Xenopus tropicalis: one gene and its partners. The protein of the gene in region 1 interacts with the protein of each later gene in a pairwise test. Links are inferred from orthologs where the notes say so. Each region holds a gene or a part of one and is shown on either strand. Other genes may lie near its edges. The genes, in order: kat5, pih1d3, apbb1, hmbox1, zc2hc1c, rchy1 and pla2g4a.

The links.
Region 2: the proteins of kat5 (region 1) and pih1d3 interact in binary tests that used the Homo sapiens proteins (3 or more experiments, as listed by UniProt). The two-hybrid records come from large-scale screens. The link is inferred for Xenopus tropicalis from reciprocal best matches to the Homo sapiens genes KAT5 and DNAAF6.
Region 3: the proteins of kat5 (region 1) and apbb1 interact in binary tests that used the Homo sapiens proteins (3 or more experiments, as listed by UniProt). The link is inferred for Xenopus tropicalis from reciprocal best matches to the Homo sapiens genes KAT5 and APBB1.
Region 4: the proteins of kat5 (region 1) and hmbox1 interact in binary tests that used the Homo sapiens proteins (3 or more experiments, as listed by UniProt). The two-hybrid records come from large-scale screens. The link is inferred for Xenopus tropicalis from reciprocal best matches to the Homo sapiens genes KAT5 and HMBOX1.
Region 5: the proteins of kat5 (region 1) and zc2hc1c interact in binary tests that used the Homo sapiens proteins (3 or more experiments, as listed by UniProt). The link is inferred for Xenopus tropicalis from reciprocal best matches to the Homo sapiens genes KAT5 and ZC2HC1C.
Region 6: the proteins of kat5 (region 1) and rchy1 interact in a two-hybrid assay, tested with the Homo sapiens proteins (2 studies listed by BioGRID). The link is inferred for Xenopus tropicalis from reciprocal best matches to the Homo sapiens genes KAT5 and RCHY1.
Region 7: the proteins of kat5 (region 1) and pla2g4a interact in a two-hybrid assay, tested with the Homo sapiens proteins (2 studies listed by BioGRID). The link is inferred for Xenopus tropicalis from reciprocal best matches to the Homo sapiens genes KAT5 and PLA2G4A.

Annotation. Positions count from the first base shown.
Region 1 is NC_030680.2:37,908,520-37,912,947, reverse strand, and holds the start of kat5 (histone acetyltransferase KAT5), read right to left. Parts: upstream 2,994-4,428; 5' UTR 2,986-2,993; coding exon 2,977-2,985; intron 2,399-2,976; coding exon 2,332-2,398; intron 1,787-2,331; coding exon 1,718-1,786; intron 577-1,717; coding exon 440-576; intron 1-439. UniProt on the Homo sapiens protein: Catalytic subunit of the NuA4 histone acetyltransferase complex, a multiprotein complex involved in transcriptional activation of select genes principally by acetylation of nucleosomal histones H2A and H4.
Region 2 is NC_030684.2:38,692,357-38,696,943, forward strand, and holds the start of pih1d3 (protein PIH1D3), read right to left. Parts: upstream 2,924-4,587; 5' UTR 2,822-2,923; intron 2,467-2,821; 5' UTR 2,460-2,466; coding exon 2,361-2,459; intron 876-2,360; coding exon 815-875; intron 18-814; coding exon 1-17. Other genes in the region: nup62 (nucleoporin-62 C-terminal-like protein), read left to right, coding at 4,458-4,587. UniProt on the Homo sapiens protein: Plays a role in cytoplasmic pre-assembly of axonemal dynein.
Region 3 is NC_030678.2:180,028,020-180,031,333, forward strand, and holds part of apbb1 (amyloid-beta A4 precursor protein-binding family B member 1), read right to left. Parts: intron 3,071-3,314; coding exon 2,958-3,070; intron 2,207-2,957; coding exon 2,030-2,206; intron 1-2,029. UniProt on the Homo sapiens protein: Transcription coregulator that can have both coactivator and corepressor functions. Adapter protein that forms a transcriptionally active complex with the gamma-secretase-derived amyloid precursor protein (APP) intracellular domain.
Region 4 is NC_030681.2:151,880,574-151,885,074, forward strand, and holds the start of hmbox1 (homeobox-containing protein 1), read right to left. Parts: upstream 3,015-4,501; 5' UTR 2,808-3,014; intron 1-2,807. Other genes in the region: ints9 (integrator complex subunit 9), read left to right, coding at 3,311-3,319. UniProt on the Homo sapiens protein: Binds directly to 5'-TTAGGG-3' repeats in telomeric DNA. Associates with the telomerase complex at sites of active telomere processing and positively regulates telomere elongation.
Region 5 is NC_030684.2:82,259,039-82,262,969, reverse strand, and holds the end of zc2hc1c (zinc finger C2HC domain-containing protein 1C), read right to left. Parts: intron 3,610-3,931; coding exon 2,429-3,609; intron 969-2,428; coding exon 720-968; 3' UTR 543-719; downstream 1-542.
Region 6 is NC_030677.2:79,548,309-79,552,690, reverse strand, and holds the start of rchy1 (RING finger and CHY zinc finger domain-containing protein 1), read right to left. Parts: upstream 3,180-4,382; 5' UTR 3,175-3,179; coding exon of another isoform or gene 3,148-3,174; coding exon 3,097-3,147; intron 1,651-3,096; coding exon 1,531-1,650; intron 1,212-1,530; coding exon 1,096-1,211; intron 71-1,095; coding exon 1-70. UniProt on the Homo sapiens protein: E3 ubiquitin-protein ligase that mediates ubiquitination of target proteins, including p53/TP53, TP73, HDAC1 and CDKN1B. Mediates ubiquitination and degradation of p53/TP53; preferentially acts on tetrameric p53/TP53.
Region 7 is NC_030680.2:119,503,676-119,507,606, forward strand, and holds part of pla2g4a (cytosolic phospholipase A2), read right to left. Parts: intron 2,091-3,931; coding exon 1,895-2,090; intron 1-1,894. UniProt on the Homo sapiens protein: Has primarily calcium-dependent phospholipase and lysophospholipase activities, with a major role in membrane lipid remodeling and biosynthesis of lipid mediators of the inflammatory response.

The DNA of each region.
Region 1 (4,428 bases):
CTCTCAGAAAATCCTTCACTCCTGGGACCATAGTCTGCGCAGCTTTTTAACATTACTTGTCCTTATATATAAGGACCATCAAAAACACAGTATGACTGATAATGGACCCTCTACATACAAAAAGTTGAACAGCAATGCTACATCCTATCATAAACACTGAAATTATTTAGTATGTTAGATAAAATAGCACCCAACTGGATGACTTGGAGAAGAGGGAGGAACATGCAGGTATCTTTGTTTTAAAGAGGGCACAGGAAGAAACTGATATCTCCCAAAGCCCAAAGGAGCAGAGTGGCATTAGTTCTGCTAAAGCAATACTACCTGCTACTTTCTGTTGCACTTATTTTAGTAGTAAGGTGCAGGGATAACTGTTATGGTCAACATCATCCCTGCAAGACAGATTGACATGACCAGTTTCTTTGAGTGCCCAAGCACTTACCACCTCTCTCTCAGGGGAGCTTGGTCTTGATCCAGGTAGTCCATTCTTTGTTGGAGTTTTTGCCTCTTTCTTTGGAAATTGAATCTTCTTAAGATCCAAACGATCATGAGTAACCCACTCATCTAATCGCTTGTTAACTGGGGGGATTAATAGAGTAAAAAAGTAAAAAAAAGAGACTGAAATAATTTTACAAGAGAAAAAAATGCTAGCAATAAGAATTAGAAGAGGTTAAAAAATTTTAACTTCTGTGTTTACGTGACAAAAAGTCACATGAATTTTAGGATTCAGATTTGGTTCCACCAGGACTGTGGATTCGCCAAATCTGAATCTTGCCGAAAAAGGCTGAATCCCGAACCAAATCCTGGATTCGGTGCATCCCTACATTATAATATGCAAGCTAATTGATAACAGAATATATGGCATTTTCTAAAAAAAGACATGGACTAGCTATAGCAGAGTAAATGCTACAGACTGACAAAGTGGGCCTGATTTGGCTGGCCAATCAAGAAGCCTGAAAGAAAGTCTACAGAAGGGCTCTGACGACATAGGTGTCTGTGAATCCAACATACAGGAATCTGTGTGCCTGTACATACACAGTTGCCTGTGCAGAGGTCTGAAATATTGCTGCAATAGGTATGTCACTGGTATGGAGGGAGTGTCTTTTATACACTCTTTTGTCACAACTGTCACACCTGTATTGAATAAAAATTTGTTTCTGCATGTGTAAATTGCAAGAGGGCAACTGGCAGCTGATCTAAGCCTGCTGGTGAGCAGCACAATCTTGAATGCAAAAGAGTCAGAAGTGCTGTGTATATGAGGATATAAAGGATATAAACAATAAGCTGCTTTGCTGTTATATGTACAAATGCAGCTTCATCAGCCCCTAGCCCAGCCCGGCTCAATTCCTTTACTTCCCCTTTGCACATGTTTGCTGTTGAGCCTCATGACATGCCACAGCAAATCAGCTTTCACTATGCTCTGTCACTCACACAGAGATTCTGGAGGGTGGCGAATGGGAGGCTGCTTCAATAATTAGCCATAACTTTGTAACAGTGCAACATTTCTAAATGCTATACATTGTCAAAATGTTTGTCTAGATTTTATATTTTCAATATTCTAAAAACATTTTTCATGATTGCTCCCCTTTAAGCAGCTCAAGCCTAGTTTCAGTACATATCATTATTTAAGCCATGTATCCTGCATATTACTATATGTAATATGCAGGATATATGTAATACTAAGTGAAACATTAAACTCCATATTTAAATATAAACTTACAGTCTATATAATGCACATAGAATAGTTTCTTCCCTGTAAGTTCCTTGATGCTCAGAATTTCAGCAAGTGCTAGAGAGGATTAAACAGAGACAAAAGAAGTGGTTACAAAAACGGTATATTTTATTATGAATTACATTTTATTTCTTTGCTTCTTCACAAACCATCTGAATGAAAATTCACCATATAAATAAAAAACACACAGAATTCTACACTCTTGTAAACATAAACAAGTACAGGTATGGGATCCATTTTCCGGAAACCAGTTATCCAGAAAGCTCCGAATTACGGAAAGCCCATCTCCCATAGATTCTGTTTTAATCAAATAATGTAGAATTTTAAAATTGATTTCCTATTTCTCTGTAATAATAAAACAGTACCTTATATTTGATCTGTACTAAGATATAATTAATCCTTATTGGCGGCAAAACAGTCCTATTGGGTTTAATGAATGTTTTTGTGATTTTTTTCTTACGGTATGAAGAACCAAATTATGGAAAAACCCCTTATCCGAAATACCCTTGGTCCCGAGCATTCTGGATAATGGGTCCTATACCTGTACAAGCTATATTTCTGCAATATTTATTACAGTGCGTTTCAAGCTATGTAGTACTTACGCCATTCAACTTCATTATCTTGATTCTTGCGAAGTACAGGCAATCGGCAACCCTCCACAATCTCTGCCTGAAAATCAGTCACGGATAAATGAGAAACGGGCAACTTAACAGTGTATTATTTTAATGGCTGTATAATGTAGTGGCAAATACTTGTTCCTGACAGTTTATGTCCCCTTTAAATAATAAAGTACAACATAAAAGGTGTCAATGTGTGAGATACAATAACTAACAGCACATCTAAAAGGAGTAATAATGAGGAAATAAATCCTAGACAGATCAGCTGAAAAACAAATATAGAAAACCAAATGTAATATGGCTCAAGATGCAGTAATTTGTCTGAGGAAATCCTGACATAACATGGTCATTAATGGGGAATATAAATGGGGAACCTTACAAGCAATTGGAATTTGCATTCACAGCAGCTGATATACGGCCATGCAAGAAGCGACAGCCAATGTTTGGTCAATATGATTAAATGTTTCTATGGCCTCATAATACAGAGAGGTTCTCTTGACATAAAAGAAATGGATAACGCAAAATTCCAGCCCCTTTTCGTATCCTACGCTTTGCATGTAACTATATTCTGTGGAAATATCACCTACAATTGCGCATACATAGCGATAAGAGCTAAACAATAAATCTTACCTCCGCCATGATTTTGCTTTAAAGCGACTTCCTTCTTTCCAGCCTCGCAGCCGCCTCCCCCTTCCTTGACAACCGTATCGAAGGGCAAAGAAGTCGCGCCGGAATAAGCATAGCATTTTTACGAGCCTCTAAAACTCACCTTTGTCCTTGATTTGGAACAGGTTATGAAATTTTAAAGAAATATATTTTTTGTAATAACTGGAGCATACTGGACAAATATAAATATAGTATTAATTACCAGGCATTCGCCTGGGCAGCAATAGCAAAAAGGCGGTAATTGTTTCCCCTTTTTCGATTTGACACGCACCATGCGTTCCAGTGATAGCGATCCGCCCAAAACACTTCCGTAAACGGAGTTACGCATGTGTGTAATAGTAAAAACAGTGTAGTATACAGAGGTTGGTTGCGAATGTGTGTGAAACATTTATTCCCATCAAAGGGGACTCTAAAGGGATGTGGGTCCCAGTAAATTCTGGTTATGCCAATGCCTTTGTTTCTTTTCCTTGATGTGTGTTGTATAAGCAATGGCTAGTGAGAAATGACCTATGCTGTATGTAATGGAAATAAATTACGTTATTGATCATCTGGAACCACAATAGCTAAGGCAGAAGATTAACTTCTGTAACTTTAACACAAATATATAAAATTAATTTCTGATAAGCAGTGAAGTAACAGGTAAGATCAAATGGGCATTGTTCTAATATGCTCTGCTTTACTGTCACCTCAGCTCATGGACTGACAATATACTCTATTTATTGTTGTATATATAAACGTAAGTGAAAGCTGCTTAGTAGCAACAGGCAAAGACACAAGGACCCGGAGGTATAACAACAATAACCCAGTGGTTGCTTGGGAATCAAGAAATGTACAGGCCAGGCAAGGGTTCTGGATAATGCATAATTTCTATCTGTGAGAAACTGACATCTTCCTCAAAGTTTTAATGCCTAAAAAAACATTTTCTTGTGGGACCCAGTGTATAATGAATATAATGAATTTGAAACAACAACATATTAAAGAAATGCTCAGCTTTTTCAGAGCAGATCTATAATCGGACTTTAGAAACATGCTAAAAAGGGCTCAAAACAGAATTAAGTGTTTTTTCTTTTCTAGTATAACTGTTATTGCATTTAATTGCAAGGCTTTGTAAAGGTAACATTTTAAAGCAGAAGCACTGATGAGGTTAAAAGTCCTGCTGCATGCATAGGGTTGATCACCTAATTCCTATCCACTCCTAAACATAAAAAAAGACTATATAAAGAATGTTGTTATGCAACAGAAATTTTCTAACCTGTCCAACTAAACGACCAATTGCCATGGTATGAAAATTGTTGGGACAATAATTCAGAGCCCACAGACAGTCTGAAAATCACACTGTTGGCCAATTTATTAGCACATGTTTCGAGTCACACAAGGACCATTTCTCAAATGGCAGTATGATCTAACTAGAGCATT
Region 2 (4,587 bases), on another chromosome or scaffold:
TCTGCCCATTTCTGAAACTGACAGTGAAAGAACTTTCTTAGTATCCCATTTTTTGTTTCATAGAGGACCTAGCATATGAATAGTTAGCTTTAGGGTGAGGAATTAAATATCTCACAAACTGTAATGAGATAACTTAATGGAGTATTTAACCTTTAGTATGTTATAGAATGTCCTTTTCCACAACAACTTTGCAATTAGTCTTCATTATTTATTTTTTTATAGTTTTCAAATTATTTAGTGCCCACTTCACCTTTTTAGTTTTCCAGCAGTTAAAAAATATGTCCTTTGTGAGGTTACAATGTTATTGGTATTGTTACTTCTTATTCTTTATCTTTCTATTCAGTCCTTCTCTTATTCATATTCTAGTCTCTCATTTAAACCACTGCCTGGTTGCTCAGGTAAATAAAACCCTAGCAACCAGATAGCTGCTTAAATTCTAAGCTGGAGAGCTGCTGATCAAAAATCTAAATAACTGAAAAACCACAAAAATTAAAAAATGTAAACCAGTCACAAATTGTCTCAGAATATCACTGTCTACATCATACTAAAAGTTAATTTAAAGCTGAACAAGTTTAAGTTTTATCCTACTTAGGTCAAGCCAGAACATTCCAAATAAAATGTAATAATCAATATATATGGGAGTAAATGCAATGTGAAGCGCCTGTTTGTAAAAAGACTCTCCATCTTCAAAATGAAAGGGTGGAGGTTTCCAACAATTTGGTTTATATTTCCATTTGTTTGACTTCCCAAATGACTATATAGTAATGAATTGCATTCATGTAATATGCCATTTTTAGGCAATTACTATCCCCACCTGGCTCATGGCTCCTTGCAGGTCCAATATCTCCTGGCCCAACACATGCTGCTAATGGACCCTGTAAAGAACATGTAAGGTGAGACTGTGAAAAATCCCAAGTGTCCCAGTTTTAGCGTGGTTTTGTCCAGTGGTGAGGAGGGTTGGTATGTCCTACCATCGGTTTCCCCTCTTGGGCAGCTGAGACCTGAAAAGTTAGCTGGTTCTGCCCTTTGTTAAGAAGCGGATCCACCATGTTGTTTGGGGCATATAAACAATGAAGAGAGGTTATTTAAAACCCCTTCCCAGAAATATATGGTTTACCAAGTTTGGGACTTCCCCAAGGATGCTGCAGAAATAGCAATTAAATTACTGGGTTTTATTCACTTGGGAGTACACTTTGGCATCTGTATTTTACAAAAATATATAGGCAATGTGGGAGACCAGATATGAAATTCCTGGATGCTGACACCCTGATCAGAAGTCTATCTTTCCATACTTTTTTAAGTGCAATAATATGATTTATCACAAGAGAGTGCCCTATATAAGTTAATATTTTCATATTTACCTCATGCACACTCCTACAATGTTCATCTGCTGATAATGGCACAGTGCTAATTTCAAAGGAAAGAAGCCACAGTTCATGCCATTTGTCAGATGCTTTCTCCATTTCTAGTCAATATGAACACATTGTTAATGATCTGAAATCTATTAGACAAAATGACGAAGGGGAAGAGTGCATGGAAAACAGGATGAGAAAATTAGCAAATGTACCCAATTCACAATTACACTAAAATTAGATTTTTAGATTTTTGGAGCTATTTAGGGCTTTTTCAATACAAAGCAAATGCCTTAAATTTCCATGAGCCATATTAGATAAGTGGTCCACTACATGGAAAAAGACAAGACTGCTCAGTGCAGTCTACTAACTTACAACACAGTGGTGCAATGGTTTGCACTGCTGTCTTGCAGCACTTGGATTCTAGGCTCAATTTCTGCCCCTGGGCAATCTGCATGGGTTTTTTCCAGGCACTTCAGTTTCCTTAGACATTCCAAAAACATACAATCAGAAAAAGTGGATCCTGATTAAACTTTCCATAGTTTATGTGAATGTGATAAGTACCTTAGACTATAAACTCGACTGGGGCAAGGACTGATGTGAATGATGTATAGGTATCGGACCCCTTATCCGGAAACCCATTATCCAGAAAGTTCCAAATTACGGAAAGGCCATCTCCCTTAGACTCCATTTTAATCAAATAATTCACATTTTTAAAAATGATTTCCTTTTTCTCTCTAATAATAAAACAGAACCTTGTACTTGATCCCAACTAAGATATAATTAATACTTATTGGAGGCAAAACAATTCTACTGGGTTTAATTACTGTTTAAATAATTTTATTAGCACACTAGCAGGTAGCAGATCCGAATTTCGGAAAGATCCTTTATCAGGAAAACTCCAGGTCCCGAGCATTCTGGATAACGGGTCCCATACCTGTATAATCTCTGTAAAGATTTGCAGAATAGAATATGTTGACACTATATAAAGAATAATGAATAACTTACCCTACAGTCACCTTCATCCTCTTCTACGGAAGGGTTGAGCAGGGAACACAAGGCATCCAATGACCCAGCAGATGTAAACTCACCCAGTGAGAGTTCCATATTCAAACTACGGCCAGAAAACAAACTAACATATTACCGCAATGATGCACTTTAATGATAAAACAATCCATGATCATGCTTTGGCATTAGTTTTATAAGCACTTTTTCAGTTCTATTTATCCTCCCATATAACTTTTGTAAACTATATACATTTTTTGCCTCTTTCTTTAATGAACATAATACTGACCCACCCCAAACCCAATATTTAAGTCCCAAACTACTGATTAAGAAGCTCTTCATGCTCCCACATTGTTGCCCAGAATTAGGCACACAACAACATTATAAAGATATAATCTGTATTAACAGAATAAATAAACGAAAACCCCTTCAAATTGCTATTTATAAGTCAGAAAGACGCATACTTGCTTAGTTTGTAGTTGTACTCCAGTTCTTTTTAGAATTGATACTTCGGTTTCCATGGAAACACAGTCGCTCCGCCTCTAGGTTTAGTTGTTCGCACAAGTCGCCTGAGTAAAAGCCCCTCGGAAATACGTCATGACAGTGCGCCTGCGCCATGCGTGCGTTCCAGCTTGTCAGTGGGCTCTGTATGATTTGGTTTCCCGCTCCCCCGGAAGTGCCAAGCAGGAGTGCTGAGAGAAGAGTAAAGGTATGATTGCAGTTGTTTTCATTCACTTTCTCATAGTAAGACAGGTTTTAGGCATGGGGTATTTATATGTAACACTTGGTTCTAAAAAATAACTTGTGTTATCATTAGTAGCTGTGTATACGGCTGAGGAGTGCTTAGCAGCATGGCTTTCGTGTTTTGATAGTGAACAACGCAGTTGTCACCAGTCAGACTTAGTAGCCTCAGATTGCCCAACCCTAGACTGGTTATTTTAGCGTGACTGATTAAACATCTGTATTTCCCAATAGAGACGGTTTATAAAGCAATATTACAAATGTTAGGGAATCAGATTATCACTCCCTTACGCATTTCTGCTGTTAGAATGCCATCTTGAGAATGGCAAACCAGTAGCCAGATCTTGTAATGTTTGCCACACATATTGTAATATCACCCACTGTGACCTGCAGTACTAAATACCTTCCTATTTGTGCCTGTCAGTTACCCTTCCATTTAGATTGTAAGCTCAAGGGGACAGGAACCTCCACCCTCTTGTCTCTTTGACACTTAACTCTGTGGAGTCTTTAATGCAACTGTACTTAGTTTTTTATTTGTATTTATGATCGTACTTAGTATTTATTATTGTAATGACCCCTTGTTTGTTCTGTTAATGCATTGTTCCACTGTACAGCGCTGTGTTCATTATAAATAAAGACATACATACAAAGCTATGGAATTTTGTACTGTAGTCAAACTTTCCAAGTTTAATTGAATCCTATGGGGATTTAATACTCAAAATCTTGTTGTTTTACTGAGACCAGTTTGCCAGTCTGGATGGGAATGAGTAAAATCATCACCAGCAAGTTATTTCCTATAGGTTCAAGCAATGGAAATTCTGCCTATATTATTTTTATTATTATTATTATTATTATTAACAACACCACATAATTATAAAATGCCAATATGTTCCACAGGTGACCATACACTGGGCAGATTTCTGCTGCAGATACGGGACCTTCAGACAGATTCAGCAGCATATCTGCCCGTGCATGGGCACCCCCGATGGCCCTGCCCGACCAACATCTGCTCCGAAATTGGCTAGATCCCAATTGGGCATGTTTCATTTTCCGTTGGATCAGGTACCACAGTGCCTTGTAGATATGGTCCTCAGTCCGATGTCACTTTTGCCCACCGTTTAAGTTTAGTTGTTTGGCTTTAGGTTGGATCTTCTCCAAATATGCAAACTATTTTACAGTGTATGGCCACCTTTACTAAAGCTTAATTTTTTAACTAGGTTCTTTTTTTTCCTGCTTTAGAAAAGTACTGTCTAGCCCCCAGAGCTTTAGAACAGGATTTAAATGTCACTTTAGTGTCTCTTTTATCCACAAAAAGTTTAAATAAATCTGCACTTATTTTCTTCCACAGAATTGACCACTATGAGTGGCTTAAACTTTGGTGCTGCCTCTGCTGGAGGATTTAGCTTTGGGACACCAAAAACCAATACTACAACTGCTACAACTGGCTTTTCCTTTGGTGCAACAACTGCAGCCCCTTCTGGTGGTTTCA
Region 3 (3,314 bases), on another chromosome or scaffold:
GCAGAAGAAACACAGATTGGGGGGGGGCATTCACTGGGCTACACTGGGGCCCCTGGTACAAATCAGCCCCCCCCCCCCCATAGTCCTAAATGTGCAGCAGAAGAAACACAGATTGGGGGGGGGGGGCATTCACTGGGCTACACTGGGGCCCCCTGGTACAAATCAGCCCCCCCCCCATAGTCCTAAATGTGCAGCAGAAGAAACACAGATTGGGGGGGGGCATTCACTGGGCTACACTGGGGCCCCTGGTACAAATCAGCCCCCCCCCCCCCATAGTCCTAAATGTGCAGCAGAAGAAACACAGATTGGGGGGGGCATTCACTGGGCTACACTGGGGCCCCTGGTACAAATCAGCCCCCCCCCCCATAGTCCTAAATGTGCAGCAGAAGAAACACAGATTGGGGGGGGCATTCACTGGGCTACACTGGGGCCCCTGGTACAAATCAGCCCCCCCCCCCATAGTCCTAAATGTGCAGCAGAAGAAACACAGATTGGGGGGGGGCATTCACTGGGCTACACTGGGGCCCCTGGTACAAATCAGCCCCCCCCCCATAGTCCTAAATGTGCAGCAGAAGAAACACAGATTGGGGGGGGGGGCATTCACTGGGCTACACTGGGGCCCCTGGTACAAATCAGCCCCCCCCCCCCATAGTCCTAAATGTGCAGCAGAAGAAACACAGATTGGGGGGGGGCATTCACTGGGCTACACTGGGGCCCCTGGTACAAATCAGCCCCCCCCCCCCCCATAGTCCTAAATGTGCAGCAGAAGAAACACAGATTGGGGGGGGGGGGCATTCACTGGGCTACACTGGGGCCCTGGTACAAATCAGCCCCCCCCCCCCATAGTCCTAAATGTGCAGCAGAAGAAACACAGATTGGGGGGGGGCATTCACTGGGCTACACTGGGGCCCCTGGTACAAATCAGCCCCCCCCCATAGTCCTAAATGTGCAGCAGAAGAAACACAGATTGGGGGGGGGGGGGGGGGGGGGGGGGCATTCACTGGGCTACACTGGGGCCCCTGGTACAAATCAGCCCCCCCCCCCCATAGTCCTAAATGTGCAGCAGAAGAAACACAGATTGGGGGGGGGGGGGGCATTCACTGGGCTACACTGGGGCCCCTGGTACAAATCAGCCCCCCCCCCCCATAGTCCTAAATGTGCAGCAGAAGAAACACAGATTGGGGGGGGGCATTCACTGGGCTACACTGGGGCCCCTGGTACAAATCAGCCCCCCCCCCCCCATAGTCCTAAATGTGCAGCAGGTGGGCGGGGCTTAATCGGATAGTTTGGCTTTAATCCTAGAATGGCATTGGCAGTGTCCTTAGATGAGGAATTTCTGAGGGAGGGGCAGACCTGAGGCCCTTAGTGGGAGGGGCAGACTTAAACCCCCAGTGGGAGGGGCAGACTTAAACCCCCAGTGGGAGGGGCAGACTTAAACCCCCAGTGGGAGGGGCAGACCTTCAGCACCCAGTGGGAGGGGCAGACCTTCAGCACCCAGTGGGAGGGACAAACCTAAGGCCCCAGTGGGAGGGACAAACCTAAGGCCCCAGTGGGAGGGGCAGACCTAATGGGAGGGTCAAAATTGAGGGGCAGGGGCAATAGCTATGGGGCAGATTCTCACCATGCAGGCCGCTTGCACAGCCTCGGACAGATGGGGGCAGGGGCAATAGCTACGGGGCAGATTCTTACCATGCAGGCCGCTTGCACAGCCTCGGACAGATGGGGGCAGGGGCAATAGCTATGGGGCAGATTCTCACCATGCAGGCCGCTTGCACAGCCTCGGACAGATGGGGGCAGGGGCAATAGCTATGGGGCAGATTCTCACCATGCAGGCCGCTTGCACAGCCTCAGACAGATGGGGGCAGGGGCAATAGCTATGGGGCAGATTCTCACCATGCAGGCCGCTTGCACAGCCTCGGACAGATGGGGGCAGGGGCAATAGCTACGGGGCAGATTCTTACCATGCAGGCCGCTTGCACAGCCTCGGACAGATGGGGGCAGGGGCAATAGCTATGGGGCAGATTCTCACCATGCAGGCCGCTTGCACAGCCTCGGACAGATGGGCCGCGTTGGGTTCGCACCAGAACATGTGACACACAAATTGCCCCGGGGCGTCGGCCATGATGAAAGCGAATGTGCGAACGTCCTGCCCGACCCCCATGAACGACAGGAACCGGACCCGACACTCACTCAGCGGCTCCTCCGTCTGTCAGAGACACAGGGGGGTATAAAGGGGTGGTTCTGGCAGCACATGGGGCAATACTGACAGGCTGGGGGGAACACAACACATTGGGCGCAGGGAGGGGTCCCACAAAGAGAAACAAACGGGGCCAGTGAGTGGGCAGGGGCAATACAGAGACAGGAAGGGGGCAATAGAGAGATGGATAAGGGGGCAATAGAGAGACGGGTTAGGGGGCAATAAAGAGACAGGTAAGGGGGCAATAGTGAGATGGGTAAGGGGGCAATAGTGAGATGGGTAAGGGGGCAATAGTGAGATGGGTAAGGGGGCAATAGAGAGATGGGTAAGGGGGCAATAGTGAGATGGGTAAGGGGCAATAGAGAGATGGGTAAGGGGGCAATAGTGAGATGGGTAAGGGGGCAATAGTGAGATGGGTAAGGGGGCAATAGAGAGACGAGTAAGGGGGCAATAGAGAGACGAGTAAGGGGGCAATAGAGAGACGAGTAAGGGGGCAATAGTGAGATGGGTAAGGGGGCAATAGAGAGACGGGTAAGGGGGCAATAGAGAGATGGGTAAGGGGGCAATAGAGAGATGGGTAAGGGGGCAATAGAGAGACGGGTAAGGGGGCAATAGAGAGACGGGTAAGGGGGCAATAGTGAGATGGGTAAGGGGGCAATAGAGCTGAAGGAGACAGGGAACGAAGTAGAAGGAGGGGTAAAACCACAGGTGGGGGGGGCAGTAAGGGGAGAATAGGGGACACCCCGGGGCCCATACAGACCTGTTGCCGGGTGATGGTGACAGTTGCAGCCGCCACATTAACGGTGACAGGAATCCAGTCGGCTTTACTCCTCGCCAGTGCAGTCTGCAGCATCTTGTTAATCACCTCCATCCCTGCACAGAAAGCATCCAGTCTCTCACTGCCCATAGTAACACCGCCTGCCCCTTCCCTAGCAACCCCGCCTGCCCCTTCCCTAGCAACCCCGCCTGCCCCTTCCCTAGCAACACAGCAACACCGCCTGCCCCTTCCCTAGCAACACCGCCTGCCCCTTCCCTAGCAACCCTGTCTGCCCCTTCCCTAGCAACGCCGCCTGCCCCTTCCCGAGCAACGCCGCCTGCCCCTTCCCTAGCAACCCTG
Region 4 (4,501 bases), on another chromosome or scaffold:
CCAAACTTGGGACATACCCACCATGGCAGGCAGAGTGATGAGTGTGACAGATGAGAGTGAGTGCAGCTGGGCAGAAGAAAAGTCCATATGAGACATACCAGGGAGGGAGGTTTGAGAGTACATGAAGTGGGGTGAGAGTGCAGGGAAACAGCAGCATGTTAGTGCAGTGCGAGGAGTGCAATGAGTACAAGTATCAGGCTTCACTGGGCAACATAGTAACATACACAGGAATTATGGCTGGAAAACAGACACGAAACCATCAAGTTTAAAGGTTTTGTCCAAATGAAAGCTAAGTGCTAGCTGGCAAGGCAGTGCCTAGGCATCGGGCTGAAGTGTGAGGGTGCAAGTATCAGACTAGGGTGCAGGTCAGTCAGGGTGCAAGGACCGGGCAGAGAGGGAGGCATGAAACAAACATGAGTGATAGAAGCAGGGGTGCCATTCAGCAATGTGTATCAGGGAGAAGTGCTAGGGGCAAGTTGTATATGGGGCAGGGTAAATGTGCGGGGTGCTACAGGGGTGAGTGGGGGACAGCTGTACACAGAGCAGTTGGCACATGGGGAAGAAACAGAGCGCAGTTTAAAGAGGGGACGGTGTACAAGAGTGCCGTATATGTGAAAGAAGTCTGAGAGTGTAGAGTTGCACAAGGGACAGACAATTATGTGAAAGAGAGAAAGGTGAGCGCACAGCTGGGCAGGGGCAATGTCAATACAGAAAGTAGCAGTCAGAAGAGTGCAGTTGGGCAGGGAATAGTGTGAGAGTGCCGAGAGGGGCATCCACACCTGTGCAGTGTGCACTGTCACATACAGCAACATACCCGGCAGCAAGTAAGTGCCATGTCAGGGAGAGTGCAACAGGGTAGCAGCAGCGAGAGTGCACTAAGTGCCATGTCAGGGAGAGTGCAACAGGGTAGCAGCAGCGAGAGTGCACTAAGTGCCATGTCAGGGAGAGTGCAACAGGGCAGGACCAGCGAGAGTGCACTAAGTGCCATGTCAGGGAGAGTGCAACAGGGCAGGAGCAGAGTGAGTGCACCAAGTGCCATGTCAGGAAGAGTGCAACAGGGCAGGACCAGCGAGAGTGCAGTAAGTACCATGTCAGGGAGAGTGCAACAGGGCAGGAGCAGGGAGAGTGCAACAGGGCAGGAGCAGGGAGAGTGCAACAGGGCAGGAGCAGGGAGAGTGCAACAGGGCAGGAGCAGGGAGAGTGCAGTAAGTGCCATGTCAGGGAGAGTGCAACAGGGCAGGAGCAGCGAGAGTGCAGCAAGTGCCATGTCAGGGAGAGTGCAACAGGGCAGGAGCAGGGAGAGTGCAGGGGGTGAGAGGCAACACAGGGTATATAATGTGCCAGGCAGGATGCAAGTTCAATGGGTTCAGCGTGAAACTGCCAGGGGCTTGGCTTAAAAGTTAAAAAAGTGTCAACACAACATAAGGGTGCAGCAAGCGAAAAGAAAAAGGCAAAAAAGTGCAGTGGGGCAGGCACAGAGAGAGTGCAGGAGTTGCCAGTCAAAGTGAGAGGGCAGTGAGTGCAGGATGTGCCAGTCAGAGTGAGAGCAGTCAGTGAGTGTTGTAAGTGCCAGAGTAAGAGAGTGCTGTAGATGCCAGTCAGAGTGAGAGAGCAGTGAGAGAGTGCTGTAGGTGCCAGTCAGAGTGAGAGAGCAGTGAGTGAGTGAGAGTGCTGTAGGTGCCAGTCAGAGTGAGAGAGCAGTGAGTGAGTGCTGTAGGTGCCAGTCAGAGTGAGAGAGCAGTGAGTGAGTGCTGTAGGTGCCAGTCAGAGTGAGAGAGCAGTGAGTGAGTGCTGTAGGTGCCAGTCAGAGTGAGAGAGCAGTGAGTGAGTGCTGTAGGTGCCAGTCAGAGTGAGAGAGCAGTGAGTGAGTGCTGTAGGTGCCAGTCAGAGTGAGAGAGCAGTGAGTGAGTGCTGTAGGTGCCAGTCAGAGTGAGAGTGCTGTAGGTGCCAGTCAGAGTGAGAGAGCAGTGAGTGAGTGAGAGTGCTGTAGGTGCCAGTCAGAGTGAGAGAGCAGCAAGCGAGAGTGCTGTAGGTGCCAGTCAGAGTGAGAGAGCAGTGAGTGAGTGAGAGTGCTGTAGGTGCCAGTCAGAGTGAGAGAGCAGCAAGCGAGAGTGCTGTAGGTGCCAGTCAGAGTGAGAGTGCTGTAGGTGCCAGTCAGGGTGAGAGAGCAGTGAGTGAGTGCTGTAGGTGCCAGTCAGAGTGAGAAAGAGAGGCAAGGGTGCCAGGCAGTGTGTGGCACAGTGAGAGAGTGCAGTAAGAGACAGTCAGGCAGTGTGTGGCACAGTGAGAGAGTGCAGTGAGAGACAGTCAGGCAGTGTGTGGCACAGTGAGAGTGCAGTAAGAGACAGTCAGGCAGTGTGTGGCACAGTGAGAGAGTGCAGTAAGAGACAGTCAGGCAGTGTGTGGCACAGTGAGAGAGTGCAGTAAGAGACAGCCAGGCAGTGTGTGGCACAGTGAGAGAGTGCAGTAAGAGACAGCCAGGCAGTGTGTGGCACAGTGAGAGAGTGCAGTGAGAGACAGCCAGGCAGTGTGTGGCACAGTGAGAGAGTGCAGTGAGAGACAGTCAGGCAGTGTGTGGCACAGTGAGAGAGTGCAGTAAGAGACAGTCAGGCAGTGTGTGGCACAGTGAGAGAGTGCAGTAAGAGACAGTCAGGCAGTGTGTGGCACAGTGAGAGAGTGTAGTAAGAGACAGTCAGGCAGTGTGTGGCACAGTGAGAGAGTGCAGTAAGAGAGTGAGACAGAGAGAGTAGAGTGCAGCGGGGCAGAGTGCAGGAGTTGCTGGAGAGCAGGGGGTGCCAGTACCTTACCTGAGTGCCGAGCAGCGCTCACTCTCTCCCACACAACATGAGTCCGGTTGCCGAGCCCGCAGCCAGCGGGCAGAAAGAGAATGTATGCCAGTCCTATGCCAGTCGGAGTGCCAGTAGCAGCCCTCGGTGCCCGACGCGCTCACTTTCCCCCACCCGCCTCCGGGACTCACATCGGAACCCGACCCGTCTTTGTCTGCCACCCCGCCGCCATGTTGGCACTCAGCAGCGCGCAGCTCCCAGCCGAATGTTTGCGCGGGAGTCTGGGAGTTGTAGTTTTCGGCGCAGCCAGACTCTCCCCGGGGAGCGAGCGGAAGGCGAAAGCAGGAAAACTACACTACCCGGCATGCCGAGCGCCAGTCTCTCTCTTACCGCCCTATCCCGCCTGGCTGAGCGTACGTCACACTGACGCAGCGAGTTATGGGCCGGAGAGACTACAAGTCCCAGAAACCATCGCGTCACCAGAAAAAGGGGCGCTCGGCGGTGAGGCCGGGGACAAGGCAAAGATGAAGCTGGTGAGATTCATGGTTTTGGGTTCTTATATTTTCTCTCATGCCTTTATAGATATGATATGCCCTGGCGTGTCTGTATCCGCAATGTGCTTCCCAAATGGCGCCTTTCCAACCTTTGCCTGAACTACAGCTCCCAGCATCCCCCAACAGTGTTGTAGTTCTGCGAGTAAATAGCAGGTCCTAAATGTGCCCATTCCTCTGTTTTATGTGTGTGGGCTCCAGGTCCTCTCTAGTCCCTTCCCTGACAAAGTCCCTACCCTCACTTAAATATGGCCATCAGATGTACATAGATGTCAGTTTACCCTCTGACAGGGTATTTAGTAAGAGTGGTGCAAAAGTGCAGTAACCCATAGCAGCCAATCTACTTCCATGAGTCTGACCTGCTCTAAATTGATCAAAGCTGATTGGTTGCTATGGGCTAATGCACATGTGTTTGTTGCTAAGGGGTCCACATCCTGTTATATAGTGAATAAAGTACCCCCTATTGTAACATATAGGGATATTATAAGCCCCCGAGGGGTTCCTTATAATATATAGTGAATAAAGTGCCCCCTATTGTAACATATAGGGATATTATAAGTCACAGAGGAGTTCCTTATAATATATAGTGAATAAAGTACCCCCTATTGTAACATATAGGGATATTATAAGCCCCCGAGGAGTTCCTTATAATATATAGTGAATAAAGTACCCCCTATTGTAACATATAGGGATATTATAAGCCCCCGAGGAGTTCCTTATAATATATAGTGAATAAAGTGCCCCCTATTGTAACATATAGGGATATTATAAGTCACAGAGGAGTTCCTTATAATATATAGTGAATAAAGTGCCCCCTATTGTAACATATAGGGATATTATAAGTTCCCGAGGAGTTCCTTATAATATATAGTGAATAAAGTGCCCCCTATTGTAACATATAGGGATATTATAAGCCCCCGAGGAGTTCCTTATAATATATAGTGAATAAAGTGCCCCCTATTGTAACATATAGGGATATTATAAGCCCCCGAGGAGTTCCTTATAATATATAGTGAATAAAGTGCCCCCTATTGTAACATATAGGGATATTATAAGTCCCCGAGGAGTTCCTTATAATATATAGTGAATAAAGTACCCCCTATTGTAACATATAGGGATATTATAAGCCCCCGAGGGGTTCCTTATAATATATAGTGAATAAAG
Region 5 (3,931 bases), on another chromosome or scaffold:
CGTTTAGAAGTCCCTTGGCCAGTACAGGTTTCTGCTGACAGGAGCGTCAGCCCTGAGTATGAGGTATGTGATTATAATCACTGGGGGCGCCTAACATTTGGCTGTCACCATTGATTTTACCGTTCCTTCTCCTTTAATGTGGCCTAAAACTGTAAGTCATGATAATCATATAATCTTACATGTTGAATTATGAACTGTTGTAATCATTTGTGTGGGGAGCTTTCTGTATAAATTGTAGTAACATTATGTTTTCTAATCACAAATTCAGTTTTAGGGCAATGGCACACTGTAAGAATGCTCACCCATGGTAAATCTGAGCTACCATGGGTGACAAACCTCCCTAAGATGCATTCCCACTTAATCACAGAAAATTGCATTTCCTTGTAAATAAGCTTGATCACCGCATACAAACAATCCTAATGATATACAATAGCAAATGGGAGATTTTTACCCAGAGTAGTACAGATTTACTGTGGCTGATGTGTGCCATTGCCCTTAGTAACTAAATCCATACTTAAATCATTACACACACACTGCAACTATTACCATGTTATCATTTACTAGATTCATGCAAAACAAATTTGGGGCTATACTGAATAAGAACATCTCCTGGGTGACAATGATGTTTTTCAAAGATACAAGTTTTACAAAAAGAAACAGACACTTTAATATTACAAAAAGCACAAACATATTATTGTTTACTTGCAGTCCATTCAACGTTAGCGTCTTCGAAGAGGTCGTGGTTTGCTCTTAATATTTTCACATTTAGGGATGTGCCTTTCTGCTACTCGTGGGGCAAAACGACGATTGCAGTGAGGACAAGTTACATAATCTGGGTTTTCCTCAGGTGGAGGGGGAGGCAGATCAGACAGTTTTCCCCCCTTGGCTATAACCTGCTGCACTGTACGTGCATGACGAATTGTTTGCTGAAACGACTCATGCTTTTGCCGCCATGCATTGCTCTGTACCTAATTGGAGGGAAAAAAGAGAAGAATCAGGTGAATCTTGGGGGCTGATTAAAAGAAAATTGCAAATGGTATTATTATTATCTTTTATTTATACTAAAATGATACACAACCCTTTACAAAGAATGTTCATTAGTCATATTGGTCTGTGCTCCAGTGGAATTCACTATATACCTACCACACTTTTGCAATATACATACTAGGTTATATTACACCAAAAGGCAATATATTTATTTTTTTTAGTTTGAGAGGATCTGGAGGACAGGCAGAGCACACAAACTTTTGCAAATTTTGCCTTAGTCAGAATTGAGCTCTGCCCCAGTGCTACAAGGCTGTAGTGCTAACCACTAAGCTGAACATCTACATAACACCATCATGAAAATCAGTTTTCTTAAAATGATTTTCTTGTGTTATGTGTGAAATGTGCATCATATTTTATGCATAAGTGAACTGATCATTAATTAAAGATTTTCTCCTATACAAGTTGTTCCTATTCCAACGACGCAAATAGAAAATATTTCTGTTTTATCTGTCCTGCCACTGCAATCTTAAATCCCCACTCACTGAGGAGATGCCAAGATCTTAGGCATCCCCAGTTCGGTGCTCCTTAGGAAAAATATGCACAAGCCCATAGAGAAAACTAACCGCGCCACGGTGCAATTTTAAGCAGCTTTTACGCTAAGGCCAGCTGGGTGGCCTTAGTATGGATTCTATAATACGGTACACACATATGTCTAATTTGATGATGTCACATGGAAAAGATTGCACTATGTTAGTCTTTTTTCCTAAAAAGGAGCATTGGTCCTGAGACATTTATATTAGCACCCCCATTGAAAGACCCCACCTGGTTCTTTTCATGCATTTCACCTCAGGGGAATGCATAATGAAATGCAGCCCTTTTTTCAAACTAGTTGCGTTCCACCTGTGTTTGGCACATCATAAAACTACATCACTTTACAAAACTAAAATTTAGTGCTCCAGTGCCCGAGTGCAGACAAAAAGAGCAAATTTTGGCAGTAAAATAGGCACATAAGCGTTTTTATGCTGAAATCCGCTCCTCGCAAGACAAACAGAAATACATTTTAGATTCAAGATGCAGAACAAATTAAAGGACAAGTAAAGTTAATTAATGAATAATTATTGGTTATGTAGAGCAGGTCCCCTTGGCCCTCACAGCCCTTGTAGTTCTCTGTTTAACTGCTGAATCTGTGCTGCCATCTTTTTAGCCCTGCAATGTACTTACACATTAGATGGCAGTGCATGTGTATTAGCACCTCTTGAAATGCTCACCCATCAAAGGCCCTAAGGGACAGACAGATGCAAAAGGAGCATTTCAAGCTACAGAGACTGAAGCAATAAAAGAGTAACATAGCAATGAGGGTCAAGAAGAGTAGAAAACCAATAGGCATTAGACATTTTACTTTCCTTGTCATTAAATGGGATTGTAAGCAAATAAAGCTGACCTTAGGAACATTCGGCCGAGTTTTTCCTTTGGTTTGCAAGTATTGCTCAAGCTCTGTTCCTTTGGCTCGTGCTTTAGATGAGTCGAATACTTTTCGATTAGATTTCTGCATCTTTTGACAAACTTGAGTATGCTTTTCCAGACGATGTGCTAGAAATTGTCGTCCACACAAGTTACAGGGAAGCAGCTCTGTTGCTGATGGTTCTGGTGCATCATCCTGAGGCACATCCTTAGGCATTTGCCTTTTCTCTTCTTCTTTGAAATTAGCTGCATATTGTGGGCTTCTACCTCTGTAAACAGGCTGTTCTTTCTCTGTCATGTTGTTTGGAACTTCTTGATTTGTTTGAGGATCTTTCTCCTTAGGCATCAAATTTTGATTTCTAAAATGCCTACTGGACTTCTCTTTTGCCTTTAATGTAAAATCAAGGTTATGCAAATACTTCCCAACCTGTTCATCAAGTTTGCCCATTGTTCTATTTCTTTCTGGGATTCCTTGAACTGTTGTATCCTCCAGCTCTGCCACCTCCTTTTCTCTCTGGATTCTGCGCAATTCCTCTTCAGTTCTACGCAATTTCTCTTTCAATAAAGCTTTCTTTCTACGGATTTCGGCTTCCAAACTCAGCTCGGAGTTTTGCAGTTGGAACCATACTTCTGGCCTGCTGGGCCCTGATTTCAAACGTATATGTTCTTCTGGGTGTGGAATTGTCAGTTTGTTCCCTGCAGAACTAGCAGACTGTGAGCGGTAAAGACTTGTCTCTGTTCTGACACTCCTTTGGTCCTTTGGGTGAAAGACAGGTTTCAGAGGGTGTGCTCTATCCACTCCAGCACTCCGTTTGGAAACAATCCAGTTTGAGGCCCAGTTTTTTTCTTCTGGCCACTGAGCTGTGTACAAACTGGGGGGATTATGATGGACATTAAAATTGCTGCGGGGATTATGACGCAGCTCTTCAGTGTGTAAGGAGGATCCATGAACCTTCTGTGTAGTATGCTCTTGCTGCTTTGTGAAAAGGGTCAATAGTTTCTCCTCTTTTTCCTTACTGACCCTCTCTTGATACTGATTTCTCATTCTTTCAAGCTTGGATAGACTTTTTGGTGCTGGTAACTCTCTTTTTAGCATAGGCAACTTTGTTTCATACATTACTTCAGAGTACTGTACCACTCTCTGTTTAGACATACCAATACCTGAAATGAAAAGTAATATCTGGTGTTGAGAGAAACATGGACCATGTTTTACAGATACAGTGGTGTGAAAAACTATTTGCCCCCTTCCTGATTTCTTATTCTTTTGCATGTTTGTCACACAAAATGTTTCTGATCATCAAACACATTTAACTATTAGTCAAAGATAACACAAGTAAACACAAAATGCAGTTTTTAAATGAGGGTTTTTATTATTTAGGGAGAAAAAAAATCCAAACCTACATGGCCCTGTGTGAAAAAGTAATTGCCCCCTGAACCTAATAACTGGTTGGGCGTTTGCGATAACTTGCAACGAGTCTTTTAC
Region 6 (4,382 bases), on another chromosome or scaffold:
TCCTCTGAGGCTCAGTGGTAAACATAAATTACATTTCGTACAATGTTCAAACTCCTCTTTAGGACCAATCCTAAGAAAAAAAATAAAACAGATTTCCTAAGAGAAGCCTATCATGGCAGCATTTGATAGATCAACATGACATGCCATAATGCTGCACTCACTACCTGTCCATGTAAACTATGGAATGCTGGGAACTAAAATAAAGAACATACAACTAGTTCCACAAAGTAGATTAATAACCTTCCTTTCCAACCATTATAATTCTAGACCATACTATTTAAGTTTGGGACTTTTTTAGCACTATAAGGCTACTGTCACACATTCAATTTATCCACCCTCTGCTCCACATATGTAATGACTGACAATATTGTTATCTGCCTCTCAATGTGCAGATTTTGACCAGAAAAAGCATCATGAGCACACTAAAGGTGGCCACACATGTGGCGATTTTTGATCGGTCGCACTAAAGATTGTTCCAATCGTCCACTAAGGTTCAGGGCTGAAACGGCAGATATGGAGGTAGAAACAATAGGATTTCTACCTCCTTCGGCCGATTCAGCTCTGAAGGCAGATTTTGCTCAGGCACCTTCTATGGCGTTGATCAAAATCTTTTAACTCACCCGATCAGCGAGTCGACCGATATCAGCAGCCTCCTGCGATATTGGTCGCCTCGCCGACTTGCCATACACGCATCGAATATCGCACGAAACGAGGTTTCGTACGATATTATCCGTGCGTGTATGGCCAGCTTAATAGGCAGTTTACAGTCCTGTCAAAGCCCACACATTTATAGCAGAGGGTGCTGAATTGCTGTTTTTTCCCACTGGCATTTTTACAATGGTGGTGAGAGCACCATATGCAACAGTAGCCTTAATCTGTTGATATTAAACATACTCACAAACATGGGACAAGTTGCCACCCTTTATCAGACCATAAACGGCCACATGAAGAAGCACCCTATGTAAAGTTACAGTATGTATGGAGTTACGACACATATGTTGTCATAAAAGAGACACTACTCTTCAACTGCTACAAACATAGCAACTATTGTAATGAATCACAGACTAAATTTTTTTGTGCTAGGCTTCAGCTTACCTGCATATACCGCATCCATCACAATGATACTGCTTCTTGTCCTTATCAAATAGATGGCATATATTGCAGTAATAATCACCAAATACCGCATGGCATTGCTCACATGTTTGCTGAGCCTACAACATAAATAAACAAGAAATTCAGACATACTGGGGTTTTATCTTTTTTTCTTAAATGTAGTCACATGTCTTATGCTGTTGAGCTTTTACACCTTAGAATTCCTTGCCATGCAAACAATGTAGCTTCAATGTTATCATATTGTCAACAAGATGGTTAACAGAATTCAGTCAACTGACCTTTTTGTTGGACATGAACCAACAGATTTATTTAAACAGATTGACTTTGGGAAAAAAAAAGCAACTTTGATCTGATCTTTAATATGTATTAAGCACAAGTCATCAGACTCTGAACAAAAACCCCAAGAATAAAAGTTACCTTTTGTACAAATTTACATTTCATGCACTGAACTTGTGTGACATTAAAGCGGTCCATCTTGTGCGATTCTTTGCTGTCATGGCATAGGCGGCAGGTATAAAACTTTCCACAGCAAGGGGCCTGAAAGATAAAATGCTGTATTTATAAAGTACTAAAGCAATTCATTTGACCAGTGTCCCCAACAAGGTGCATCAGCAGATTAGGACAAGGAAAGTCATCTATACTTGCAGAACCCCCCTCTAAAAACGTGCAATCCACATTCCCCAATCTTGCTCCTTTTGTCTGTGAAATATAGTAGAGCTACAGGCATCATGTCAGGCCATTTGAAATCTCTTCTACAGCTTTCTGGCGGTGATCACACACGATGGGCATTCACATTTACAACTAGGACCAGCAACAAAGTCGTACAATATGGAATATATTTAGTTGAACAAAGAGAGCTCCTATATGTTAGAGAAACCATGTTATTCCTTAGTTCCTCACCAAGTGGCAAAGAAAATAAATCTTTAGGCTGTTGCCAGACGTGGCGTACGGCTGATATTTCCGGCAAGTGGAAAAACACTTGGCGAAAATACAGCCCTACGCCTGCTACTTGTGCCTGCACCTGAATGAATGCGATACGCTCGCGTGCAGGCACATGTAGCCGATAAACGCATGAAAACACAAGATAATGCAAAGTCTCGCATTTTCATGTGTATATCGGCTACATGTGCCTGCACCCGAGCGTATCTCATTCATTCGGGTGCAGGCACAAGTAGCAGGCGTAGGGCTGTATTTTCCCAAGCGTTTTTCCGCTTGCCGAAAATAACAGCCCTACGCCACGTCTGGCATCAGCCTTAAGCCATAACCATTTGTTAAAAAACACACATACACAACAGACTACTCGTATTTTTAGGTGTGAGTTCCTATTCACGCTGAAAGCATGAAATAAAGTATCAATCCTGGAGTGGATTATTAATTCTCTTTAGACATAGGGTTGGTAGACAGCTCGGAAATATAAACACTATTTCCAGCACATGTGCTGATTATAGTGGCATTACATAAATAATCTGAAGAAAGGAAAGCTTTGCATGGCATTCTATGGTAAGGGTATCTGGGCTGCTTACTATACAGTGTGCGTGTGTTAGGTGGGGGTCATTCAATCCCACAGATACGTCATATTGTATCAGAAATTGGGGGATACAAAGAAATGTTACAAAAATCCACAATTGTTTTTAAGTAGGATGCAAAATTTTTATTGCTTTTATATAGCTGGCATACACGCTAAATCGCAGCTCCAAGCATTTGGCCGTCTACTTGCAACACATTTCACATTATCCATGACTCGAATAGATCGAGCCACGATCACTACTAGACAGGTAGATGCTAGCAACTACAACTCCCGACATCGCTTCGCATACACTTCCTTTAAAACAGCTGATGGGACTTGTAGTTTGAGTGACGAGCTGTGACACACCAACTTACGATCTGATCTCTCACAAACTCATACGCCCCGCCCCAATTCCCCATACTGCCCGCACCGTTTAGTTCCCAGATCCCTACCCCCTGGCTCCCGAATTCCCTCACCCTTAGTTGGCAGCCCCGACTGTAATGCTCGCAGCCTCCCGTCACCTCCATGTCCTCAGAGGGACAGCCCGAAGCCATAAGTGTGAGCGTAGGAAGCGGAAGCTAGGGGGAGGAGCTAGGGGTGGGGACAGTGCCGTACAGTACGGCTCATACGCAATAACGCGCGCTATTTGTATTTCAGTTTTGTTCATCTCTGACATGATATCGGGGAGTTCGAATACTCGTACTTATTCTGCCTAATCGTTTAGAGAAGGCGCAGAAATGTCCTATTAAATGGACCAGTCACTGTGTCATACCGCAGACAATCCCTGCCTTAAGCTGGCCATACACGTGGCGATCCGACGATGTTTCGTACGACCATCCATCGGTCGCACGAAACATCGTCAGATCCGCCACACACCATTCAGGGCTGAATCGGCAGGTAAGGAGGTAGAAACAATAGGATTTCTACCTCCTTCTGCCGATTCAGCTCTGAAGGGAGAATTTTGGTCAGGCGCCTTCTATGGCGCCCGATCAAAATTTTCTAACTTGGCCGATCGGCGAGCCGACCGATTTCAGCAGCTTCCTGCGATATCGGTCGGCTCGCTGACATGCCATACACGCACCGATTATCGTACGAAACGAGGTTTCGTACGATAATATCGGTGCGTGTATGGCCACCTTTACAGATATGGCTGTCACATTCTCTATAGCTCCTGCCCCGTCTGAAACTACCCTCTTCATAGACGTAGCATGGTTTTTGTGTTTGGGGAAGCTATGTATAAATAATTCTAGAAGGATGATAGCATTTTTCTGAGAATCATTTTTACATTTCTTTTTAATGTATTATACACACCAAGAATAAATGCAATGTCAGATTAATCAATAAAAAAACCAGAACACGTCAGGGTAATTGCAGTACCAGCCCATGATTTTTACTATATCTTCATATATGCTGTATATTTATTGCTGTAAATATAGAGCACCACCCTCATGACAAACTGCTTACATACTTGAAACCTGTAGCCAGAGTAAAAGAAATTGTGAAGGGCAACAATAACTGCCTTTACATTCTGCTGATTCTCACACACACAACTTCACATACAAAATACATTGGCCACGCGCTGGGTTTAGAGGCTCAGACTCCACTGAGCTGTCTCAAATATAAAGCAACACACTTACCAGCAATACAATACCAAGGGGCAGATTTACTAAGACACAAACGCTCTGAGCGTATTTTCGCTGCTTGCGTGACTTTTTCGACGCCCGTGCAACTTTTTCGTATGCTTGCGCGACTTTTTCATACG
Region 7 (3,931 bases), about 82 Mb from region 1:
ATAAAACACAGTCAGGCTTGATTGCAGCCAGCCCTATAGAACCTCACTAGTTCCTAAACCTTACATTGTGAGTAAAGCAGTCACCACAGCTTTACTAGCACACAATTCCATGATTGGAGTGAACATTACTGGGTGAACAGATATACATGAGACTAAGTGCAGCCGGATTTAATAAATATTTGTACAGAATATTAATGCTTCCACTCAGTGGCATAACTATAGAGGAACCAGACTCCTCAGCCATGGGGGGCACAGGGGGACAGGGGCCTGGACCGCAGGCTCTGCTTCCTCAATAGCTTTAGCAAACCCACCTCCCCACTGCTCTTCTGAGGGGTGGGCAGGTGGCCAATAGGAGGGGCAGGTAGTGCTTGCCTTGTGCACTGGACCCCTCCAAAGTTTTTTTTGCAGGGGGCCCCACACAGTCTAGGAATGCCACTCTTTCCACTCTCAAGTATTTTAAAGTTGCATAGTATTGCATAGTATGTCATGTCTTCTTTCATGTGGGAGTGATACTTAGGTACAAAAATGAATGTGAGTAAGGGAGCTACTAGTAGTCAACAGGTTATTGTGCAAGCTTCATGGAAGATGTGAGTTTTGCAAGAACATTTGAAACTCTGTAGGGTAGGGAATGTCTGATGTTGTAGGGTAATGTATTCCATAGGTAGGGTGCTGCTCTGGTGATGGCCTGAAGATATTCATGTAAGGAAGCATTTATCTATTTCACTAATGAACATTTAGCACAACTGCTTCAATAGTAATTATCAGAAATGGAAAACTGGACCACTGCATCTAATTAAGTGTATATATTGTAATTGTACTGCAATTCCAATGGTCTGCATTTCCACCTTGTAATCTGAATTACTAGTTATTGGGTTGGGAAAAGTAGCTTTCTGAGGACGTGAAACTGAAGAAACCAGCACATACTCCCATAATGACCCTGTACATTATGATTTTATAAACAAATGATGGGTAAATAATAATCTGTTAGGATATGTTCTAAAGTTTAATCTAACTGGCAATTCAAATTTCAATGTCCAAATCTTTTTAAACCACCAACAATGCTATTAGCGTGTTAGAAAATCCATTTTCCAGGCTTTAAGTTTTTTTTAAGCAACATCCATACACAGGTGTGCTTTAGGTGACAGTCACATGCAGAGTGCTATTTGACTTCCTGTAAATTGTATGCCTGGTATTTTGATTGGCTCTGCTGGTGTCAATCAAGCACACTGCATGCCAAAGTCGTTAAACTTTTGCACATTGTACATTTTACATAAGTGCATTCAGATGTCCTTTAAGAAGATAACAAGATTATGTACAGCATTTAAACAAGCTTTAATTGCATATTGATCCTTGTATTTTGAGTTTAGTGACCATTTATTAAGCCAGACACGGATATGTTATCTGTCATATTTTTCACAGGGTATTAAGTACCAGGGCAATCATTTAATATGGGCATTAATACTTAGAAATGCAAGGGGTTTAAAAAGAAACAACAATGAGGTTTAATGTAGTATTCACAATAGTCCCCAATGCGTTACCAACATTTGTGAAAAGGGCATTCCTGAGAAAATTGCAGCCTACCCTGCCCTAGAGGGACAGTGGTGATATTCTGCAATTAAAACAACATGAAAAGCCAGAACTACATACAATAGAATATTCTGGTATATAATTGTATATGATGTATCAGTTCGTGAGAAATAGCTTTCTGGCATGCACTGAGATATCGTGTGTCATTGCTGTCAAGAAAGGTCACTTATTAAATGGGTTTATCAGACCCATCTTATGTTTTGTACAGCTAATAACCATGGTTCACTGTTGACACCTACTAAACAATGGTAATTGGAAAAAGGAATGGGGAGAACAGTTTGCTTTTTTTTCTTTTAGCCAATCTTACCTGGTGCCTTAAAGTTTCTGAACTGAAGATTAGCCAAGACGAAATGAATGACGGTGGGGCAATCTTTTTCTACTGATGGGTTTTTTGGTTTAAATATGTAGCATTCCTTCAGTCCTTCTCGGTCAAAGACATGCGGGTCTATTTTTGGAAAGGGCAGCTTATTCATCCTTGCCCATTTCTCAGCAAGTAGGAGTTCCTTTGACGGAAGTAAATGTTTAGAATGTTTAAAATCCTCATCGGAAAGTAAGATTTTTTTTTTAAAAACAGACACTCATGAAGAGCGCTATGATCATCTCAGTTTCCTAACACAGTAAGGCTGCGTGCTTCAGTGGGGAATTTTGTACAGCAGCAGAATAAAAAATTGACCTCCAATGAGTCAGCAGAAATACTATCATCATTGAAATAACAAGGATATATGTCTGAATTCCTTTTGAATCAAAGAAACATAAAAAAAATCTTAATAAAGATAACATTTAATCTTTAAAATTTTATTAAACTTTCACTAAAGATAATAAAAAACAATACTGAGAAAGAAACATGTTACCCGTTATACCAGGGGTCGGGAACCTTTTTGGCTGAGAGAGCCATAAACACCACAAATTTTTCAAATGTAATTCCGTGAGAGCCATACAATATGTTTGGCCACGGATGCGGCGGGGCAAGGTAGGGTGGGTCCCAAGGATGCCGGATGCGATGCGGAGGATGGCGTGGCCTGCGCTTGGCGGATAGAAGACGTGTTCTAAGGCTTAGAACACGTCTTCTATCCGCCGAGCGCAGGGACAAGGTAGGGTGGGTCCCAAGGATGCCGAATGCGGAGGAGGGCATGGCCTGCGCTTGGCGGATAGAAGACATGTTCTAAGGCTTAGAACACGTCTTCTATACGCTGTGCACAGGCCAAGCCCCCGTTATTTTTTTTATTAAAGATTTGGCACCGAGCCAGATGCAGCCATCAAAAGAGCCACATCTGGCTCCCGAGCCATAGGTTCCCTACCCCTGCGTTATACATAAAGAAAAATCTTAGCCACCTATTATTATTATTATGTTATTGCATCTACAAGGAGAGGTGGGCGATGTTGGCTGAGTCCTGGAGGTCCGTTCCTCTGGTGGGCCCAGGGGCCACCAGTCTGACACTATATACTTTGTCATCACATAAAGTGTTCCAGTCCTGCCTGGATGTACTGGCATTTATCTTTGTACTTTTCCCTTCATTTGCTGCTTGGCTGTGTTATGCCTAGCTTAATGATCAGCATGCTCCAAGAACTACTGTATGTCTTAAAAGGGGCAGCAATTCAAACACAGATTTAACATTACCATATTTACAGAAAACACATACACACTCACATGGACACACACACTTTTGTCCTTTAAAAAAGCCAACCTTGTTCAGCAGAATTGGGTTTACTACACCCTGAACTAGTAGGTCTTGTCCCTTTTGCTTTTGCAAAGGAATTATGTTACTACAGACACTTATGAGATGTAATAAGTAAGCATAAAACAGGATAGAAAAGACTAATGGCACAGGCAGCTCTTGGCAGATACAATATTTTAGCTGTCTGAAAAGCTCCCATGTCCATCTCCATTGACTTATAAACAAGCTACAGCTCTGGTAAGCTATTTTGGCCTTTATTTGTTTGTATCAGTGGGAGATCCTGGGTGCAGGCACAGGCATTATGTGCCACAAGCTGCATTGTCTGCATTGTGAAGTCTGCATTGTCGCCATTACAGGGAGAAGCAAAGTTATACAGCTCTTAATAACTCCATTAAACAAGCTCAAATGGAAAATAAAAAATGAAGGTATAGTCTACCTTAAACAGCTTAACACTTTTGCATAAAACTCGAGTGTAAAATCAGCAGATGGTGAGTTAATTATACAAACACAAGGTGTGTTTTATCTGTGAAGGATTTATATGAAACACAATGTTCCTTATGCCCAGAACAGATCAGAATGAGTAAAATTAGGAGAGGTCAGTTTGGTCTCATTAGTAATTAAACAGATGTAACCCAACTGGTCTGTCTGGGCAAGATAAAACCAGGTAA